Diceros bicornis minor: one gene and its partner. The protein of the gene in region 1 interacts with the protein of each later gene in a biochemical or structural test. Links are inferred from orthologs where the notes say so. Each region holds a gene or a part of one and is shown in the gene's direction. Other genes may lie near its edges.

What was found.
Region 2: the proteins of SHANK1 (region 1) and CACNA1D interact in a biophysical measurement, tested with the Homo sapiens proteins (2 studies listed by IntAct, with this or other methods). The link is inferred for Diceros bicornis minor from reciprocal best matches to the Homo sapiens genes SHANK1 and CACNA1D.

Annotation. Positions count from the first base shown.
Region 1 is NC_080773.1:25,832,877-25,836,476, reverse strand, and holds the start of SHANK1 (SH3 and multiple ankyrin repeat domains protein 1), read left to right. Parts: upstream 1-1,339; 5' UTR 1,340-1,573; intron 1,574-3,600. UniProt on the Homo sapiens protein: Seems to be an adapter protein in the postsynaptic density (PSD) of excitatory synapses that interconnects receptors of the postsynaptic membrane including NMDA-type and metabotropic glutamate receptors via complexes with GKAP/PSD-95 and Homer, respectively, and the actin-based cytoskeleton.
Region 2 is NC_080741.1:53,978,506-53,982,318, forward strand, and holds the start of CACNA1D (voltage-dependent L-type calcium channel subunit alpha-1D), read left to right. Parts: upstream 1-1,372; 5' UTR 1,373-1,661; coding exon 1,662-1,728; intron 1,729-3,692; coding exon 3,693-3,813. UniProt on the Homo sapiens protein: Voltage-sensitive calcium channels (VSCC) mediate the entry of calcium ions into excitable cells and are also involved in a variety of calcium-dependent processes, including muscle contraction, hormone or neurotransmitter release, gene expression, cell motility, cell division and cell death.

The DNA of each region.
Region 1 (3,600 bases):
CCTACGGGATTTGCCCTGTCTCTGTGGGTGTGTCCCGGGCACCAGTGAGCTGAGCTGTGAGGAGAAGGTTGGGCATGTCTGCATGTGATGAACGAGAATATGCAACTATGGTGTGCCCAGGAGTGAACAAGAGTAGTGTGAAGACTTTGAGCCAGCCGACTTGTCCCTGATCCTTGGCACCACGTCTTTAGAGCTGGGTGACCTTGGGCAAGTTACTTAGCCTCTCTGTGCCTCGGTTTCCCTCTCTGGAAAAAGGGGATGGTGAAAGTCCCTAGCTCATAGGGTTGGCGTGAGACGTGGATGAGTTAATCCAGAACATAGCCTGGCACACAGGAAGTGTTCAAGAAATGTCAGCTGTGATTATCATGGAGGGGAGCTATGGCGCCGTGCCGTGCATCTAAATAGGCGCGTGCACACCTGTGCGATGGATGGCGAGGGGGGTGCGTGAGAGGGGGACGCATGCATACATCTCCCTATAGTTGCGTGTCTCTGTTTCAGGCTTGCGTGTGAGCTGAAGATCCGAGCATGCACACTCTGGTTCACGCCCGTGTGTGTGGTGGGTAAACGCGTGTGCCGCGCTGCGTGGATGCTCCGGCACACGGGCGTGCTATGTCCCTGTTGTAGCTGAATGTGTCTGTGGTAATGTACACTCAGGTAGGTTGGGTCTGGGCGGTCACGCCCTGCAGACTGTGTCTGTGTGGGCATGTCTGCACGTGCAGGACCAGCTAGATTATGCACCTGTGCCTTGGGGGAAGGTGTGTGTGTGTGTGTCTGGGGGACAGGACAGGAATCTATAGCTCTCACAATCCAATTTGGGGGTGTGGAGTCTCGCAACGAATATTTATTGCGCCCCGCTGTGTGCAGAGGGGCTGCGGAGCCCTCTGGGAAGGGGCGGTCCTGGGGTGTGCAGTGGGGGGGTACCCTCAGGGGGGCGGGGCCCCATCGTCGGGGTTTGGGGGCAAGCAGGGGTGGAGTCAGGGTTCGGCGAGCTGGCGGCGGAGAGGAGTGGGGGGAGGGCAGGGGGAGGGGGCGGAGCCGGAGTCGGGGGGGATGGGCGAGGTTTGGGGGCGCGGGGAGGGGCTCTGTCTCCTCCGCCGGCTCCCGGAGGGAGGGGAGAGGGCGGAGGGAGGGGAGGGAGGGAGAGAGGGAGGGAGGGAGAGAGACAGGGTGAGGGAGAGACGGCGAGAGCGAGGGAGCGAGAAGGGAGGCAGAGGAGGCGCGGAGCGGGCGGCGGCCGCGGCCTGAGGAAGAGGAGGAGGAAGAGCGGGCGGAGACGCGGCGCCGGGAGCCGGCCGGACCGAGCCGGGGGCGGGCTAGCCAGGAGGGGCGCGGCGGCCGCGGCGGACGGGGGGGCGCTCTGCGGATGGCCAGGCCCGGCCCGCGGGGGGGGTGAGGTCCTCGGCCCCCCCGCCCTCCCCCCGGCCCCCGCCCGCCGCCTCCCCGGGCCCGCTCGCCCTCCGGGGCGGTGGGGCATGGCCTGAGGGTCCCCCGTCTCCGGGGGGGTGGGGGGTGGGGGGGAGGGGGGAGGGGCCGCGGGCGCCGCCGACCGGGACTCAGCAGCCCCGCCAGGCAGGTAAGGGGGCCGAGAACCGGGGGCTTTGGGGTCGCCGCGGGGCCGGGGCGGCGGGAGGGGGCGGGGGCGCCCCGGACGTCCTTGGCCGCGCGCCGGGCTCCCGGGCCGGGCGTGCGGTGGGGGTTGGGGGTGAGGTGGGGAGCGTTGCCCTGGGCGACGCCAAATTGGGTTACGCCCCGGTCCCCGGTGCCCCGTCCCAGATCGCGGACCGGATGCGAGGATGCGCCCCCCATCGCCCGCCAGCAGAGACCCCAGCCCCAACCCGCCTCCCCGCGCTCCTGGGCCAAGGGCTCGGTCGCTGTCCCCGCCTCCTGGCCCTGCCCGGCCACTCCCCCGCCTCGCCCGCCCTGGCCCACCTGGGCCCCTCGACCCCTCCTGCGGCCCCGCCTCTCGAGGCCCCTCCCCCAGGTCACCCTGGTGCCCACCCCCCTCCAGGGGGCTCTGGGCTTTGGCCTCCTTCGCCCCCTTCGACCCCCTCTAGCTCCTGCTTCTCCTTCCAGGCGCCTCCAGCCGCTTCCCGCCCCCTTCACAAGCTCCCCCCCTCCGCACCCGGTCTGCTCTCCCTTCCCCGCCGGCCGGCGCGCCCCCTCGGTTCCCGCCCCCGAGTGCGCTCCCGGGTGCCCCCGCCCCCTCTCCCCGGCCCGGGGCTCTCCCCCACCAGTTCCCCGGCCCCAGCGGGGCTCCCTCTCCCCGCCCCTCCCCGCCTCTCTCCGCCTCCATTCATTCTCCCGGGCCCCGCTCGCGGCCACGCCAGCCGCCCCCCGTCCCCCCGCTGCCTCCCAGGGCACCCCCTCTCTCCCCTTCTCCCCCCCCCCCCCGCCGACTCCTCAGCCCGTCTCGGTACCAGCTGCGTGCCAGCTATTCTTAGCCGTGGAGCGTTTGATTCATGCCGCCCCGGCGGAGTGTGCCCGCTCCCTCCCTCGGGGCCTGAGGGGGAGGGGTCAGAGCCGGTCCTGGGGGTTGGGGGCAGCCGCACGCGCGGGGGGACCCGGGCCAGCTTCGCTTTTATCCCCACTGGCCACCCCATTAGTGCCCGGTTGAGACTGGGGGTCAGCCAGGGTCAGCCGAGGGGGAGTGACCCCGGGGTCCCGGCTCCGGAGGTGGGATGTCGAGTCGCGTGGGTAGAGGCCGGGGTCTCCGCCCGGGCAAGGTGGGGCGGCGCTGCTGGGTACTGGAGGGGGAGGGGGCTTCGAAGCCCGGGTCACTCGTGGGGGAGGGGCTGGCCGGCCCGTGCTTAGATGCCGGCTCGCCCACAGCTCTTGGAACTCTCCTCCCCACACACACATTTTGTTTTCCCTCCCCCCACCCCCCAGCCCATCCCCACTCCCCCAAAGTCAGCAGTACCCTCCACTGCTTCCCATCTCCATGGCAACGGTGCAGGAGCCGGGCCTGGTGTGGGGGGGGAGGGACCAGACCAGACATTCTGGTTTCTGGTGCTGGGGTGGGAATGGGGGAGAAGATGAGGGAGGCCGACCCCTTTTGGGACCCACTCTTGTAAGGCCACCCCAGGGGTGAGAATAGTGGGGGTCTGGATATGATCTCCCACCCCAGTCCCCCAGACCCTCACCCCACTTCTTAGCCTCTCTCCCAGCCCCCCCGTCTCCCTCAGTACCAGGCAATGGGCTCCACCCACCCTGCAGTGGCCACAGGTCATCAGCAGCCACCCCACACTGGCCCAGGCCACCACACCACTGCCACCGGACAGCCCTCCCAGGCCGGCCTCCCCACTCAGCCACACACCCTCTCAAGATGCCCCGAGCAACCTGCAGAGGCCACCTCTTGTAGTTCCCTCGGGGGCACCCCGTGCATGATGCTCTGCCCCATGACACCCCCATCTCGGTGCCCCTGGGACACCGATTCCCCAGCAGCCCTCTGCACACATTGTCAGCCACACTTCGGTGAAGTCACTGGCTCCACCCGCTCCCAGGCACCACGCTGCCTCCGGCTCCTGCCGCCCCAGGCTCGCACATGGCACCTCCATCTCCCCCTTACTACATCTCAGCCTCTCACCCCCAGCCATCCAAGGG
Region 2 (3,813 bases), on another chromosome or scaffold:
ATGCAGATCAGAACAAAAGCAAATAAATCGAATCTTGTGAAGTAACAAAGCGGACGCCTTTCTCCAATAGCCAGCAAAATGCTAAATGAGAAATATCAGTCATCCACTAGATACAGTATCTTCCCCTCTAGACAAGAGCTTCCGTTTGCAAAACTCCTCAACCCAAACATGACAATGAAGGTACCAGAAAACAAACTACTCTCCTCAGCTCCCACACGGGAGTCAGCAGCTTCAGCAGCACTACCTATTCCTTTAAGCAACACAAACGGTTTGAAAGACCTTAGCTTTTACTTTCCTGTACCTGCCTCCAAACAGATGTGGGGGGGTGGTGGTGAGAAAGGGATGAGAAGGGGGTAGAGAGAGGAAGAGGGACAGAGGGATGTTACCCCTCCCAACCGTCTTAGAACCCACTGAAGCGCCAGACCCAGCGATGGGCGGGGATGGGAGGGGGGAGGCTCTGGAAACCCGGTTAGCTCCGAAGGTGCTGTTACCCCGGCACTGAGCGCTCTCCAGAGAGCAGGACTCCCCCATTCCCCTCCTCCCCCCGCAACCAGAAAGAGCTGTAGGAAAAGGGGGGCGCTTGCCCGGCACAGAGCGGTAAGGGAGCTAGGCAGAACCCCTCGACGACCGCCCGCCTGCACCTGTGCTCCCAGGGGGCGGGGCCTCCTCCAGGTGTGCCGAAGGGAGGACGCAGCGCAGAGCCCAGGCAGGCGGCGGGAGCCTAAGCATTCCATCCCCCCAGCCCCGAAGACATGCAGGGGGAGGAGCGGTTAATCCGCACACCGCATCCGCGGGCTCCGCGGGCCCCGCCCGCCTCCGTGGGGGAAAGGGGGGAGAGCACCCTGCGGCGCCGAGGGGGTTAACCGGGCGGCCGGCGGCAGGAGCGCGCTTAACCCATTGGCGCCTGCGGGTCAGCCGAGCCAGGCCGGGGTGGCGGCACCCCGAGTCCCACGCGGCGGCCACCCCGACCGCGCGGGCCGTGCGGGGAGAGCCCCGGGCCGGGCCGCCGACCACTGGGGCGCGGCGGGCCCGTGGGAGGCTCGGGGCGGGCGGGGGGAGGGAGGGGGACGGCGGCGGCGGGCGCGCAGCGTCGCCAGGGCGAAGCCGGCGTGCGGCGCGGCGCGGCGGGCGCGGAGCAGGCGAGCGAGCGAGCGCCTCCGTCCCCGGATGTGAGCTCCGGCTGCCCGCGGTCCCGAGCCAGCGGCGGCGCGGGCGGCAGCGGCGGCGGGCACCGGGCGGCGGGCACCGGGCACCGGGCACCGCGGCGGGCGGGCATGGGGGGCGCTCGGAGCGGCCCCGGCGGCCGGGCCCGCATCGCCGCGGCGTCCCTCCACTAGAGGAGGGACCAAGCCAATTCTTCTTTGCAGCAAAAAATTACATGTATATATTATTAAGATAATATATACATCTGATCTTATTTTTTAAAAAAAGTTTATTTTGCTCCATTTTTGAAAAAGAGAGAGCGTGGGTGGTGAGCGGTTTTTATAAATTATTCTTAATTTCTGTTATCTGCCCTCGTCCCTCCCCACCCCCTGCTGAAGCGAGAATAAGGGCAGGGACCGCGGCTCCTACCTATCGGTAACCCCCTTACCCGTTCCTCCCCCGCCCCAACGCCCAGCACAGTGCCCTGCACACAGTAGGCGCTCAATAAATGTTCGTGGATGATGATGATGATGATGATGAAAAAAATGCAGCATCAACGGCGGCAGCAATCGGACCACGCGAACGGTGAGCAGCCAGAGCCTAGGCACCCGCTGCCAAACTAATCCTTGTCATGGTCCTCCTCTTCCCACCCCCTCTTCCTTCCCACCCCCCTCCCGTCTCTGATGCGCTGGGTGGGTTGAGAGGGTTGGAGAGGATGCTGCTAGCTCGGTGTCGTCTACATAGAAAGGGGAGATGCGTGACAGCCACTCCGTTCTCCCCTTCAGGCCTTGAATGTCAGAGTTAATTCTGCATTTGTGGGGTGGGGGCGGCCCTGGTGTCCGTGGAGTACTGTGCAGCCGGAGGGGCGGCAAGCCGAGGTGATTCTGGTACAGTGTCCTCGGGCTCAACTTTCCTCCAACGCTCCCGAGCGATGTGTGTGGGGGGAGGTGGCTGTTAGTCTTCAGCCCAAACCCCCTTTCCAGCCTCTACTCGCCTTCTTCTCCCTCCCGGCCCCCTGGTTGACTAGGAAGACGATCTCTGGTGGCATCCGGAAAATTCTAGGATTGCCCGGTTTCACCCTTCGCGCCGGTGGGTGAAGCACACCGCTCCCCTCGAGAGGGAGGCCGGGTCTCGGAATCGCCGGCCAGGGGGTCGGGTGGAGCGCGTATTCCCGCTCCCAGTGCCGCTGTGCACACGTCGGTAACCTAGCAATGCCCGGGGAGTGCTGCCGCTGTGGGGCTCCCCTCCCCAGCCCGGGCACCACGTGCACTTACCACGCTGGCCGGGCGAGGTCGAGGGAGGCAGGAGCAGCTCCTGACCAGCCACCTCCCCCCCGCCCCCCCGCCCCGTTTGGAGGTCACCGGCACTCCCCACAGCCCCCGTGGGCTCTCAGCCTTGCTGGGTGAGCGCTCCCCAAGGGAAGGCTAGGCACGACTCCTCCCCGGGCTCTGGACTGTTCACTGCCCGCCCCCATGGCCCCCTTCTCAAGCTCCTGGGCAGGCCGACCTGTGCTTGCTTTGACTCTCTTGTTCTTTACTTAGCGAGAATTGGTTTAGCAAACGCCCCTCCCTCTACCTCCGCCACTACTCTTAACTTTGACTTCTGTCTATGTAAGGAGGTTGTGACCGCAGCCAGGCAGGTGCCCTGGAGACCTGCCTGGGTGGTGGCCTGTTCCAAAGCTAGAGGGGGTTTACACATGGAGCCCCGTTGGGGTTCTGCCCTGTGTGCACCTGGATGCCAGCCTACATTGGGATGATTCCTACTTAGGCCTTGAGGGCCCCTGGCATCAGTCAGCGTGTCTGTCCTAGGTGTAGGGGTGCAGGCCGCCTGCCTGGGCTGTTTCTCTGGATGCTGGCTTGGCTGCTGCGGCTGCAATTTAAAATGCAAAAAAGCCCTAAAGATGTTTTCTGTTTTCGGAAGCCTGTGGAGGAAATGAGTCCCAAGTATCATGAATTTTCATTTGCAGGAAGTGTCAGTGCATAATCTAGATATTTGTTATGGGGCTTTTGATATTGCCCTGGTGCCAGTGGAGGATTTTTTTTTCCCATGCTGAAAAAAATGCATTTGTGGCTGTGGAAAGATGTTGGAGTAACAGCCTGAAAATGATTAAGACTATTGAATTATTGGCACTGCCTTTTTGTATGTGTGTGTGATGGTGGTAGTTATTTTGGAGAAAAGCTGTTGTACATATCTGTTAACTCATTAGAGATACATGGGTTTTAAAAGTCAGAAAAGATGTGGAATAAATGTGGGAATGACCTCAGTTTGTCTGAAGAAATGCACTAAAAGACTCCTTGTGGAGACATGGGTGTAGAGAGGTGCTAACCCCCCTGGGCATACCGCAGCAGTGGTCGTTTGTGACTGACACTCAGGGCAGAGACTTTTCTTGCTGCTCAAACCCCTGCCTCTGAAAAATAGGACACGAGGTTTACAGTGGAAACATGGGAACCATTCCCCCCACTATCAGTGGGAGACAACTTTTGCTTTTTTCTGACACTGGATTCTCATTGTTTTTTTCTTTTAATTTTTCTTTTTCTTCTTTTTCCCAGAGGCAAACTATGCAAGAAGCACCAGACTCCCTCTTTCTGGTGAAGGACCAACTTCTCAACCGAATAGCTCCAAGCAGACCGTCCTGTCTTGGCAAGCTGCAATCGATGCTGCTCGACAGGC